Caenorhabditis elegans: one gene and its partner. The protein of the gene in region 2 purifies or fractionates together with the protein of the main gene of each other region. This does not show direct contact. Each region holds a gene or a part of one and is shown on either strand. Other genes may lie near its edges.

The links.
Region 1: the proteins of phf-30 (region 2) and F47B8.8 fractionate together in Caenorhabditis elegans (co-fractionation; one large-scale study listed by BioGRID). This does not show direct contact.

Annotation. Positions count from the first base shown.
Region 1 is NC_003283.11:14,328,076-14,335,466, reverse strand, and holds F47B8.8 (Aminopeptidase N-like N-terminal domain-containing protein), read right to left. Parts: upstream 3,794-7,391; 5' UTR 3,725-3,793; coding exon 3,514-3,724; intron 3,383-3,513; coding exon 3,081-3,382; intron 2,995-3,080; coding exon 2,887-2,994; 3' UTR 2,800-2,886; downstream 1-2,799. Other genes in the region: srm-5 (Serpentine Receptor, class M), read right to left, coding at 1-139, 205-238; srm-4 (Serpentine Receptor, class M), read right to left, coding at 791-1,021, 1,070-1,273, 1,318-1,501, 1,553-1,728, 1,797-2,051; pepm-1 (Aminopeptidase N-like N-terminal domain-containing protein), read right to left, coding at 5,451-5,567, 5,614-5,918, 6,091-6,301.
Region 2 is NC_003283.11:8,464,867-8,472,275, reverse strand, and holds phf-30 (PHD-type domain-containing protein), read right to left. Parts: upstream 3,237-7,409; 5' UTR 3,224-3,236; coding exon 3,056-3,223; intron 3,007-3,055; coding exon 2,791-3,006; intron 2,740-2,790; coding exon 2,680-2,739; intron 2,632-2,679; coding exon 2,461-2,631; intron 2,411-2,460; coding exon 2,321-2,410; 3' UTR 2,209-2,320; downstream 1-2,208. Other genes in the region: gplb-1 (Glycoprotein hormone subunit beta domain-containing protein), read left to right, coding at 1,271-1,312, 1,824-1,970, 2,020-2,208; mrpl-4 (Large ribosomal subunit protein uL4m), read right to left, coding at 3,444-3,519, 4,137-4,381, 4,433-5,011; mrps-2 (Small ribosomal subunit protein uS2m), read right to left, coding at 5,250-5,582, 5,888-6,088, 6,286-6,474, 6,519-6,590; natc-1 (Protein MAK10 homolog), read right to left, coding at 7,055-7,190, 7,236-7,358.

The DNA.
Region 1 (7,391 bases), 5.9 Mb from region 2:
ACTAGAAAAATGAGCAAACTACCAATTGTGATACTTAAAATTCCAGCAATAAGATCGTTGTAAAAATGATATCTCTGGATAACTGGTGCAAGCTCAGACGGTGGCCCCAGCTGCATTGATGTTCTATTCCCAGGTAGAGCTGGAAATAAAAATGTAAAAGCTCCTTATTTAAAGTTTCATTTATTTCAATAAAAAAAATCTTACGCGGTGGAGGAAACAAGAACTTTTCAAAATTCATAGTTCAATAATGTGAGTCTGCAAACGAATAATTGGCGCGAGTTTCCAATATTGATACAAATAATAATACTCGATACTTAATCCAGCACCTGACAATTAAATTATCAAGGGAAACATACTCCATTGACTCATGCCACTAGCAAATGTGTTACATCTATACTGACTGGGTGATGATATTAACCGGGTTGTATAGTTGATCTCACTATCAGTCACAAATAAAATGCTACTTACAACACAACATAAATTGGAATTATTCTTCAACTATGTAGACTATGTTAAAATTATATTTTAAAAATTTAATTTAGTTCAACGCCAATTTGTGAGCACTTCAGAATGTAACATGTTTGCTTCATTATTAGAAAAAACCTACCGAAAAATTGTCGATGTCTTGAGCAAAAGATTTAATTGTAAGACAAAACATATTCACAAATAAATCGATTTATTAAAAATATCCAGAAATGTGGTAAGAAACCAACAAACAAATAAACCCAATGTTAAGAGACAAAAACACAGACGCAAATGATACAGAAAAAAAAGATTTTTTGATTTAGAATCAGCTTTTATTTGCAAATGACCGAACTTCAGAAGTTGATACATGTTGTTTTCCGATCAATGCATTTCGAATTTCCGAATTTAGAATGAATATAAAAAGGGTGTTTACAACAGGTGACCAGGCAAAAAGGAGAGGGAGAAGGTCTGTAACAAGGCCTTGGGAAAGTCCAACTATCGGACCAAGGACTGAATAGTAGAATGGAGCTTGAATGAATATTAATGGACAGAAGAACTGAAAATGTTGAAATTAAAGAATATAGAGTAAAATCTAAAGGATTACCTGTGCCAATAAAACTCGATTCATCTTCTTCTGCAGTACCAATAAATTGTTACTTGAGTTTTTTGATTCTCGAACTTTTAAATTGATTTTTATCGTGCACAAAATCATGACCAAAATTGACAAGATTAAAGTTAATACGTAAGCAACCGCAGACATTATTGATCCGACGTGTTCAATCTGTTCCCTGACAGTATCCACTTCTTTCTGAAAAAAAAAACCCGTTTTATTATTCTTCAAAGTTTTTCAACCGTATATGATAAAAGAAGAAATGCAGAGTTTGAACCAGTAAACTTATTGGCAACAAATTGAAGCTCGGTTATGTCCTTACTAGTTGGGAAAGACGAAAAGCAAAGGCTCACTGATGTGAGAACTTGAAAAATTAAATTGATAATTAGCATTTTTAAGAAATCGATACATCTAACACCATGTTTTCTGGAAAATAACTTCAATCTTGTAAATTGAGTTAGAACATCTAAAACATACTTGCAAACTTGATCATATCTAATGTAGTAAAGCCAAGGGGCTAGAAAAATTTGTTGAGTTAGAAAAACAAGTGCCGCGGCAAGAACAATTTGACTATAATAGAAATTGAATTGCCACCCAGTATTAACAATCATAAGACCAGTAAATGAATCATCGACCGAAATTGATGTGAATACCTGAAATTACAATACATTATTTTGATTAAATGCCACCCATCACCGTTACTCATCAGAAGTTGACTTACCGGAGCTGTCAAAATATAACTTGCGCTAAACAACATCTCGACAAGTTTTGTAACTGTCATCACTTTTTTGAATAGTTTTGAAGCAGTTGATATCCGTGTAGTAAATACTAATATCACAAGAACATTGAGCATAATGCTTAATACACCGGCAACCAGATCATTGTAAAAGTGATAACTACGGATAATCGGACCAAGTTCCGCAGGTGGACCAATGTCATCCGAAGATTCACTTTCCGGGGGAGCTGTAGAAGTCATTGGGTGTTATGGATTATTGGTATGACAGATGTTAAATGCTATTCTATTTGATATAAATTCTGCTTATTACGTGTAAATTCTATTATGTTTATATACATACCATTATAAAATTAAGTGCAAAATCACAAGAGCAGACAAATAATCAGCAAGTTGAATGTTTTAAAGTTTAGTGTTTCGAACTTTAATTTAAAACAAAAAACTTACCCGAAATGAGGAACTGATAAAAATTTATTGCTGAAAAATGGCTCGAAAACAAATAATAATAATAATCAGATGTTATTACGCATTTGAAAATATTATTCGGAACATGGAAAATCGGAGGTCTGAAAATTCAGTTACCTCGAGCTTTGACTCAATTAGATCTGAATCACACGAGGTTGGCTGTCTTTGAAATTGTTACGCCTACACTGCGTGGTGGAACAAGTTAAATAGATTCTCAAAAATGTGTGCTATTAAAATGGAAAAAGAAACAAAATAAGTCACATGCTGATCAAAATGAACCACGCAAATTTGGTTTCATTTTTCTCAATCTTATTAAATTATGCCTGCAAATTATTTGATGATTTATAGTATATTCTAACCTAGATTATTCACCTCTATGAAAAGAGAAGTAGTCCGTATAACTATGGCCCACCTTGAATAGACTTCCGGATTTTGCAGATATCGAATAATCTGGTGTTTGCTTTGTTTGGTGCTATAATTGTTTTTCCTATTTTTCTTGTGATATAACTGAAATAAAATCGGAATTCCAATACTTGGAAAATCTTTATGGCAAAATAGAAATTGGGGTAGAAAAAATTAGAAATATTAATCTATTCACATAAAAAAAGATGTTTCAAGAAAAATTAGAAACATTAATGCATAGATTTTCAATAGTAATTTCCTCATCCGTTATGAAGTTCTTCTTGACGCGACCTTCAAAGTCTTCCTGTCCATCGCTATTCTGAAAAATATACAAAAATAGGATTATGTTTGTTTGATGCGGAAATTGATTTTTTTTTAATGTGCTGAAGATATCGAAATCCTTACCAAGTTAGTTTCTACCTGTGATCCTTCACCACCTATCACAGTCAGCCAGGTCTTGATAGCAACACCTTCATAACATGGTGCAACTTTATGTGCATTTCCATCTTTCATATTTGCCGTAATTGAGTTCTCATCAACCGCAAAGAGGCCAGTAGTTTGCCCTGCAATAATTATGGGTCCAGTAAATTCTAATTCAATGTAGAATCCATTTTGTGTATTGTCTGGGGTTAGCGGTGTGTCCAGTGAAAGTGTAAGAATCTCAGATTCCAGATCATGGTTATAGTCGTCACATAACACACTTGCATCTGAAACTTGGGAAGTTGTATTGTTTTGTAATGTCTTGAAATTCAAAATTTGAGTCCATAATTTTTTCAGCACAATTACTATTGAGAAAAAAACCAAAAAAAAAACCGTTTCAAAATTTAAATTAACTTACAAATGGGACATTCCAGGTATACAGCGTAAAAATTGATCAGCCTAATAGAAGTCCATTGAAAATCCCTTGATGCTTGAATTTTGATTTCCGAAGTTTCTGCAGTGAATTCATAGTCGACTCTCACTTTTCCGCAGTAAGTCTTGTTTGCCATATTTGGATCGAGTTGGAGCATGTATCTAGTCGGCCGATATGTGGTGAGAAGTTCCGACATATTTCAATAGAATCAGAGAATAAATGACAGAAATGAGACGGCCTCGACAGTTTGATACGAGTGAAAACTGGTTTGTAGGAGGAACACGTGCACCCGTAAGAGATAGAGAAAAATGAAAAAACATCGATTGAATTTGTAAATATTTTCTCCTCGGAAAATCAGAAAAAAAATAAACAAAACATTTCAATGCCATTGTTTTGAATTTATAAACTTATCTTGACTAGCAAATCGGAGAGTTGCTAGGCTTCGCAGTTTAGTTCGGCGTAGAGTAACTCAAGAATAATTCGCTTTATTCGCTAAAGTTTAGTCAAGTGTTGAGTAAATGCCAAGTAAATGTGCTGAAGTTTGTCAAGACCGGCCAAATTTAGTTTAATATTAATTTTAGAAATAAAAATTTTTTCAAATTTTTTTGCTTAAAATAGGCTTAACAGTTGTCCAACGCATCTGCGTCTATTTGGGCTTGCGACACTCGAACTGAATTATTATGCTAAGAATAGGCTTGACGGATCTCCAACACTTCTTCGTGTATTCGGGCCTGTGGCTCTCAACTCGAGTTTTTGGGCTCAGTATAGGCTTAACGGCTGTCCAATACGTTTTGTGTATTCGGGCCTCTGGCCCTCAATCCGGTTAACTGACCTAGGTGACCTTTTTCATTACTTTTCCAAAAACATACGTAGTTATAGAAACATACCTCTCAGAGAAGGCCTCCAGCCTGCTCTGCTGGGTGTAGGGATAGAAAAGGCCTAAAGTTTCAAAGAGTAAGAAGGTGGCCCTAATCCCTGATTTTTGGGTTTGAGTGAAATACAATAGCATTGCAGGCCTCCAGCCTGTCCTGCTGGAAGTCAGGTTAAAAGTAGCCAACATGTTCAAAAAGTGCGGCCCTCAATTAGATTAGGGAAAAAGTAAAAATCTCGAAAAGTCTTCAAAATTGAGTTTTCCTCACGTTATTAAAAATAAGAAATGAAAATTATCGAATTCATCACCAAAAATAGAGAAAGAGAGAGAGTGGTAGAAAAGTTTTTCACGTTTAATCAATCTTTTTGATTTTGCAAAAATTGAATGATGGCCTACATTTTGGAAAGTGCGCCAATTTTTTTCAAAATAGTTTCAAAAAATTGGAAATACGAAGTTCTCTCTTGCGCACAAATTGGAACCAAATGTCAGAAAAACTGAAGATTTGGGGCTGAAAAAACATGAAATTCGTCAGTACAAAGAATACATCCATTTCGACCATACTCCAGAATTCCGCTCAAATCAGTGTTTTAGCCTTCCCAAAAGCTCCCCCACAATGATGACGATGGAAGGCGCTATTTTTATAAGCTATTGAAACAAATTGCTCAAGAAACCGCCAACCCTAAGCCAAGATATAAGCTCTCAAAGTGCAGTCACATTTCTCGGGACACCCCATTACGACAACGTGCCCTTATTTTTTATTTCTGTCAAGAATGCAATTTCAGGATTTAATATAGGAAGAGGCAGAAAAAATATTTTTATGAAGTTCACCCACATAGGACGATTAACTCGAGACCCCTAACAAATCAGAAAAAAACGCCAAGTCCAAAAATTTTCGGAAACTAGCAACTTCTTGATACGTACCCCCCAAGCACACGTGAACATTTAGTAAATTTGTCATACTTATGAAACATCCAGGGAACACATACATATATGAATAAAAAAACTTATTCATTGATTCGGTAAATTAATTGTTCAAAAAAAATTGGAAACACTATTCCATATCGATAATTGGTGTGACATAAATGTAAACATCTTCAATAGTAAGTTCTTCTTCTTTTAAAAAGTTATTCTTCACTCTTCCTTCGAATTCTTCGTGCCCAGCGTCATCCTGAAACATTTATCAAAATCAAAACTCTGCTTTTCCAAAAGCATACCATATTAGTTTCAACTCTAGTTCTTTCATCAGTTATCACAGTCAGCCAGAACTTTGCAGAAACTCCTCCCTCATAACATGGAAATACTTTATGAGCATTCCCATCTTTCATATTTGCTTCAATAGTACTTTCATCAATTGCATAAAGTCCAGTAGTTTCTCCCTGAGGATTTATAGGTCCAGTCCATTCTAATTCAATGTAGAATCCATTTTCAGTAGTTTCAGGAGTGAGGGGGTTTCCCAATGGAAGAGTCAGTATCTCTGATTCGGCATCATGGACATAGTTTTCACAATCAACACTTGCATCTGAAATTTGGAAAAATATTTAAACAAAAGTCCACATTTTTGAAAAATTCGGCAATTTACCAAAAAGGTTGACTGCCTTAAAAACATTTTTTATTTGGACGTTGATTGCTCAACATTAATCAAAATTTTACTGATTCAAATCTTTTAAATAGACTTAAGTTTAAAAACTTACACACAGGACATCCTTCATTGAAATCGTAAAACGTGGCAAGTCTGACAGAAGTCCACTGAAAATCTCTAGATGTTTGAATTTTGATCTCCGATGTTTCTCCTGTGAACTCGTAATCGATTTTTACTCTACCATTGTATGAGTTATTTCCCAGATTGGGATCAAGTTGGAGAAGAATTTTAATTGGCCTGTACGTAGTAAGAAGTTCTGACATTTTTAGTTGTAAGGTCAAACTGAAATGAGAATAGATGGAAATGAGAAGGCGTTTACGATTGAAAATGTGTGTGAGAAATACTTGTTGGTGGTAATGCAACAAAATAAGAGAAATGGAAAAAGATTGCAGGCAGTTTTGGTTTTTGGTTGTTGGTAAATCAAAAACAATACCAAAAACAACAATAATAACTGAATACTTTGGACATTCGAATTTTTGACAATGCAAACATCGCGAAAACTCAATTTTTGAAAACAGCTTTCTTTTAATTTTTTCAATTCAGTTTAGATAACTTTCTCTCGAAAAAAAGCGTATGTAGCCTGAAAAGGAAAGCAAACGACATATCGCATACACTTTGTAAGGATTTAATGGACGTCATCAATGTTGTTAATTGAGAAAAAATTATCTTTTACAAAGATCAGAGAAATCTAATACGTCAATTATCTTTTTCTATATGTTCAAACTAAATAGAAATACGGAAGAGTGGTGGGCGCATGGGCACATCGTTGAAAAAAAGTTTTATGTAGTCTACCAAGATTACGACAAGTCCTTACCCAAGGCTGTAATTTTGCAGATCGGCTTATTGCCAAACTTTTGAAAGGATTGACCGAAATGTTTTTTGTAATACATCAAAAATCGAATAATTTTTAAAAATGGATTCGACGCTTCCTTACAAGATGTACTCTCCACATAAAGTTTTTCTCACTTACCAAATGTAGGGTGAAATACCACTCTAATTTTTTTGAGTTTCTGACAAGAAATCATTCAGTTCTTAAACAATGACGACTTGAGAGACGGTTCTCATACACAGTAACCTTCCCTACGCCTTCATGAATATAATCGCGAAAAACTGCCAAAACAATCGCGAGGCTGCTAATAAAATATCCTTTAAAATTTAAAAAAAAATTGAAGATCAAAAAAATAAATTTGTTTTTCATTAAGAAAGTAGACAAGAGAGACAAGGAAACTGAATAAAATTTACCCTGAAATTGTTGAAGAAAATGCTTTCAGCGTATTTTCCATTATATTCAGTCCCGTAGAATTGCATTTCTTGATCGATAAGGATAAAAAATTCCAGGTTATAAAAATCTTC
Region 2 (7,409 bases):
AGGTAGTCAATGAGTGTTTGCCACAAAAACTGGACAATTAAACAACTAGTAGCTTAAGTTGACAAGTTGCAATGTACATCCTCTTCTCATTTCGATAAATCAAAAGTTTTGATGAAAACGAGGTTCCTGAAAAAAAGCGGTGTGACAGGGAATTTGCGGAAATAAAAAAAAAATTATTATACTTCAGTTCTTTTTCTTTACGAATTAATCACAAATGTGTTTAATGTAAGAACAATACATGATGCAGAAAAATGTCCATATACTACTAGTAAACTAGAAAATGTCAGCAAGTTAGTAAATCTGAGTTCAAAGTAAATGAACTATTTCTTAGTAAATGACTGAGAGTAAAAAATGAGTAAATTAGACCTTGAAGTAAATGAACTCTTTTTCAGTAAACGAGAGAAAGTGAAATCGCTAGTAAATTAGACGTCGAAGTAAAAGTGCCACTTACGTAAACGAGTGATTTAGTAAATTAGACTATTAGTTAATGAGGGTTTGCCCTAATTTTTCTATGCACCTCCTTTTAGAATTTTCAGGAGAAAAATGGATTACTATATGAATCGCATTTCGAGAAATTCATAAATCTGAGATACATGTAACTGCTACAAAAATTTTCTCGAAATAATCTTGGAACTCTCGAATAAAACATTCAACAGGAAGAAAAAAGAAAGAAGAATATAAATTTAACAAATTTAATACTAAGAATTCGGTTTCAAAATTTAGGAATAGGGTATGTAATACATTGATTTCAAAAATTAAAAGTACGGGGAAAATTTTTTCGAGAAAGAAAATAAAAAATTTATGCAGAAAGTGATCATTATTTTGTTAATTGCAAAAAACATTATCAAGTTGGAAGATGTTGTCATAAAGTCATCAGAATGATTAGATTGATATGAATATATCTCATATATCAAAACTAAAAAGAATGGCAAATGGGTGTGGTTTTGACCACTGATTCTTCTCTCTGTCTTCTCCTTCTTTTTCTCTTCTTTTCCTTTTCCTTCACTTTTTATCCAAAATTCATTGTTTCTGAAAATGTGATGCTCCGGAGATGAATTTCTTGCCTTCTCGATTCCAAATTAAATTCTTCCCGCCCGTCTTTTCGTGCAATCTGGAGCTGTGAGCGTCTTTTTTGTTGGTGAAAACAATGTGTTCTGGTGGTGGGTGTGGTGCTCTTTGGCATCTGCTAACAATTTCAAATTAGATCCACAACTATTTCTGAGCTCCTAGAACTATTTTTCATTGTTGACGTTAAGCTCTTTTGAAAAAAATGCTTATATTTCCCGTGATCACTATACTTCATATATTTTTGGTAACTTTTTGAAATATCTTCTAAAATGAATTTAATATGTAACAATATTCTAACAAAATTTTTAATATTGATCAGATAGTTTTTCCAAATTTAAGTATTAACCAGGCGCGAAATTTTCCGAATTTTAGGCCAAAAATACGGTGCCCGGTCTCGACACGAATTTTTTTATTAGGTAAAAATGGGTGTGTGCCTTTAAAGAGTACTGTAACTTTAAACTTTCGTTGCTGCGGAACTTTTGTCGACTTTTCATAGCTATTAGATAAAAATAAAAAAATATTCAATATTTTCAACAAATCTTTAGAAAAACTATGTAAAATCGATAAAAATTCTGCAACAAAAATTTGAAGTTACAGTACTCTTTAAAGGCACACACTCGATTGTATTTAACAAAAAAAGTCGTGTCGAGACCGGTTACCGTAATTTTTGCGCAAATCGGAATAATTTCGCGCTTGGGTAATAAGCATCACATCTCCAACTAATTTAAAAGCAAAAGTGTGATTTTTAAATTCAGATTTCGGTTGAATCTGGAAAAGAATGCGAGTTTGCAATGCGATTGGTCCCAGGATTCAATCCACTTCGTCAAGTTGATGCAAATGGAAAAGAATGCCGAGGAAACGTGGAATTGCCATTTTGCAAGGGTTACTGTAAGACTAGCGAGGTGAATTTCCTTTTTTTTCCGATTCAAAAATAATCCAATTAAATTTCAGAGTGGCACCCATGGCTTTCCACCACGAGTTCAAAATAGTAAAGTGTGCACATTGGTCACCACTTCAACTCGAAAAGTAGTTCTTGATGATTGTGATGATGGAGCCGATGAGAGTGTCAAGTTTGTAATGGTTCCACATGGAACTGATTGTGAATGTTCTGCAGTTCCACTTGAACAACATCATTCATAAATTATCATACATTCATTCAAAAATTCATCGAATAAATAAAAGTTTTGTGTATGCTTGTTTTAATCAAATACAGGGTTAATTTTTAATATAAATAGATCGTGGAATAATCAATTCACAATTTTGTCGTTCTGTCTCGTCCCATTTTCATTCGTTTCGCATCAAGTTTCGCTGGACTTGGGGATCGTGACCGATTGGAGTCTATCTGAAAAATTTCAAAAAGGTGAAAGAAAAAATGACTTTCAAGAAACTCACAACTTTCTTTGAAACGAGACATGTTTTGCAGTAATATTTGAAACTAGGTTCCGATGCTTCTTCAATCGAAACTGTAGGGATACTGCATGCCATGTGGTAACAATCTCGACATCTTCTACAAGCGAGAACTTGATTTCCAGCTAATGAGACTCCGTGGCATACTGCACAGGGCTGGAAAATATATATTTATGATAACATTTGTTTATTTAATTATTTTACCTGTTCACTTGTACAATAGATTGAATCGTCAATAACTGGCACTAGTTTCTTCAATTTCTTCTGAAAACATAATTTATTTTGAAAATAGATCCAAAATTAAAAATCCCTTACCATTCCACCAGGAGCAGAGGACGATGAAGCACCAGACTTGTCTATTACAAATCCAGATTTATTTAAAATCTGTGGAGGAGCATACATCAATCGTTGAGTTCCGGCAATTCGTTTTTGTGGATTCAGCATATTTGGATTGAGTTTCGAAACATTACCCGAATCCATTGTGAAAGAATCTGTGTAAAAGTTGTTTGTGCTGGAAGAAAGTGACCATGTCTGAAAAAATGGATGAGATATTGATTTCACAATTCATATTTCATGAAACCTTGGCAACCAATTCAGAAAATTCTTTATCAGTGCTTTTATCGATAGATTTCATAAACTTGATGAGTGTCGAAATGTATGCATTCGCATCGAATTTTTCTTCTTCAGGAGATTCTGACGTGTCTTGTTTCTCATCAATCATCAGAATATCATCATCAACGTCTGTCATCTTTATTTAAAATCTGAAAATTTTTGATTCGTTTTTTTCTCATTGGTGAGAACGAGGAGGAAATAGAACGGATTGAACTTTGAACAATTTTTGAAACATTTTGAATAGAAATTCTGTATTTTTATTTTCAGGATACTTTTATAATAAGAATAACAATCAAAAACAAAAAGAAAAATAAGCCTATTAAAAATTCTAAATTACAAAAAAACAAAATATCGAATCAAACAACTGGTGGCATCAATGGATCCTCTTCTGCTTCCGCCTCTTGAAGAATCTTGTCCTTGTAGTCCATATATCTGAAAATTTCCCATTTATCTCTAAAGTTCTTTGGGAGTAATTTTTTCACTTGTGTAGTGGCTTTTCGATTTTTTCTGAGAAAATAAAAACTGCAAAATCTAAAACAAATATGTTCGATTTTTAAAAATCGGGGAACAAAATGTTCGGGAAGTTACCCATAAAACGCAATTCTAACTTTGTTTATGCTGATGACTATTTCTCGAAAAATCAAAAATTCGTTTCGAAATATCGGAAAAATGAAAACTAAAAACATTTTTAACCGGTTACCTTGGTATTATTTTGTTTTTTTTCGTTTACTTTTATTTCTATTTTTTTCAAAATTTTTAAAATATTGTTTTTCAATAAGTTTCATTTCAAGAAAAAAGCGTTGCTGCTACACCAGGGCTGTATCCTTATTGGTTATTTTGGTATTTTGACGAAAAATTGATTTTTTGGTTTTGAAACCAAAAAACCGAAACATTTTTCAATTATCAGCGTTTTTTGAAAAGTAATTCAATTTTTTTTGGTTTTTCGCAAATTTAAATTGTTTTGTTTTTTGATCCAAAATTATTTTTTTGGTCCCAGCCCTGTGCTACACAAGTGACGTTTTTTAATTGTTAATTTTCCAAATATTAACCTGTATTTCTTATTCATCGGCCCAGCTCTATGCATTTGTGTGAGAAGTCGTTCTTCAACTCTTTCCAATGCACTTCGTGACAGAACAATAGTATCGTATTTCATTAATGAGAAGCAATTCAGACCATACACTGGCATCACATTGAGCCACGGAAGAGCTTGTTGAGCTTCAGCAAGTCCACCGCTAATCTCATCACAATCATCAACGAAAAGAACAGAGTATCCGTAGTTTCGAGCTTCGCAAAGCTGGAATTTTTGAAATTAAAACAGAAAATGATTTTTCTATAGATAACTTACATCAATCCAATATTTAGGGTCTCCATTCTGTAAGTTTTGAATTTTGTCAACAATATGCAAATCGTCTTGTGTGTGCTTTAGAGTGAGAGCAACACAAAGTCCCTGAATTCTGACTGCGTCTGGAAGCATGTAGAACCACGTTCTCGGTCCACGAACACCATTTGCGAAACCTCCTCGAATAAATTGTGGGGAACGAATAGAACCAACGTGAGCCCGTCCAGTCTTCTTTTGAGGCCACGGCTTTCTACCCCCTCCGGGCATTTCAGCTTTTGTCAACATTTTCGTCATTTGCACATTTCGATATACACTTTGCCACGTGAGGTTACGGTGTAGAATATCGATACGCGGTGATGTTCTGAAAATGTCTGGATGGAGATCCACGAGTCCGAGCTTCTCATCTTCGATGGTATCCAAATTTGAAACCCAAGCTTGTGGAGTTTTGATGAATGGATTTTCTGGTTTTCGCCATAATTCTCTTCGTGTATCGATGGATTCGCCAGATGAAGTCGAGGAAACATCCTGAACAGCCGATGAGAATGCTCGACTTGAAATTAAAAAACGCAGCTGCCTGGAGAGCATCTGAAAAGGGATAAGGTGTATAAATAATTTTAAAAAACCAAAAAAAAAGAAAGATATGTTCTAACACTGTTCGTTTACAGTAGTGATTCAAAATTACGATTTGAAAGCAATATTTTGATTTTTTAAATAGGTAAACAACTGGATATTTAGAAAATGAAGAAACAATCAGAAAACAAGGAAAACAAAAGATCTAATCAAAAATTTTGAAATCTTGAAACTAAATACTAAAAATTAAAATTTATTTTCCTTGCTGCTGACGTTTTCGTTCTTCTTGTCCTTTTCGAACGGCTTCCTTGAACATTCTGAGCAAATATTCAGTGGATTGTGGTGTATCATCGTTTGCAGGAACCAAATATGTCAAGTAAGCCGGATCCGAATTCGAGTCAACTACTCCAATTGTGGGAATCGCCATTTTTGCGGCTTCAACGATGGCTGGATGGTTTTCGCCGAGTGATGTGAGGGTTGACAGGAAGCAGACAGCATCTGGAAGTCGAACTGAAGCTCCGAGAAGTTGTCGAGTGTTCGTTAGAGTTCCTGATTGCCACTTTCGAACGTGAGAGTATTGCCCAACCTGGAAAATAACACCTTTTCAAATTTTTTTTTGTAAAATTTTTTTGCTTGATTTTTAAAGATTACTGTTTAAAAGACATACATTTTTACAGTAACATTCACAACTAGAAAACAATGGTGAATATTTTCTGAATAAAAAAAAACAGCTCAGGATCGCAAATTCCGCAGAAACAAATAATCTCGCAAGATTATTAATTATCGGATCAAAGTATGTTCACATCACTGCTGTTATGAAAACTCGAACCATGAATCATTTTCCAATAGATTGGTGTTCTCACCCCTACACCACCATGCACACTGTCTCACCTCATCTGCTGCCTTCTCAACATCAAACATGGTGTCTCGATTGGAAGTGACAAAAAGAATCATTCCACCGCGCAATGACACATGAGCAACGAAATTTAGAGCTCTGACGAGATATTTTTTGGTAATATCGAGGTCGAAGAGGCAAACTCCAAGACGTTCACCGTACAGGGCCCACTTCATATTGTTGTTTACTGTTCCGACCTAAAAAAAATTATATTAGTTGTTAATTCAACTTCTCAAGCTTAAAATAAATTTTAAAAAATGCGAAAAAATCCCGAAGTTTTTTTCGTAATTTTCCAGTGCAATTTTCGAAGAAAAGAAAATTGGGAAATCGACTTTTAAACGTATTTCATTCATTTTTTTTAACAGTTAGAACCGCCTTTCTTTAAATAGACTACCTTATGTCCGTAGTGAAGTCTTGCTTTAAACATCTCATCGATATGGACCATTTTTTCAAAATTAAATAAATCTTCATGTTGAAGTGACGCGGAAACGAATGGCTTCAACACTGTTGGCTGGACTGTTCCTTTTTCAAGAGTTGCACGATCCGGAACAGACGACGATGATGAAGTAGATGCAACTGGTTTCTGGAAACAAAGAATTCTAAATTATATTTTTGGTAAATGGTTACCTGCTGCGACGCGGAAAATCGTGTCGAGAAGGCTCTTTCTGTACGGATTGCAGCTGCTACAACTCGTCTCATCTGGAAATTCGTGTTGAAAGAAAACATGGTAAGTAACTAGTAAGTTAGAAAATAAGTAATAATCAATTTGGATACAGAAACCAAAGAATCGATAATTCAAAGATATTTTGCAAACTGAAAACAAACAAGTTCATAGAAGCATAAAATTTGATTTGAAATGTATTTCGATATCTCTGAGAACAATGTGAATGTACTGTACCAACCGAGAAAATTCGTGTGCTATGAAAGGAAAGAAGACGGGGAGGCGGGGTTCACTAGTCTGAATTACTCAATCAATAAAATATGAAAACAAAAATCGAAATATGAATAATTATTTAGCTGATTATATAAAATACATGAAAGAAAAACACGGGGGACTTATGGCATTCTATTGAGATGATTCTTGAATATTTCTGAATCTACTGATGGATTGTGACTGTTGGAGAGATCGCAGCAATAATTGGCAAACAAGAGTAGAGTTGTCATCACTTTTTGCTAATTTTTAGACATGGAAACATTGGAATCTCTTCTGAAAACGACCAAACGACATTTCTGTCCGTCAAATCAAGTTTCAGAACTCTGCAAGCAATAATGTTCGATTTCGCCACGTGGATCAATTGCCTGGAAATAAGAAGATTTTTAAACGACCAAACAGCATCAACCAACATCATTTCGCGATTTTGCTCCACAGAGTTATCGATTTTTTCGAGATGTTCACGTGCTTCATTGAAACTTTTCTGAGCTTGATCGATCAGTGTCTCAATCTTGTCTTCATACATTTGGTCAATTCTGAAATGCGAATAATTATTTGTATACCCATAAAATGACATTTTTTAAAAA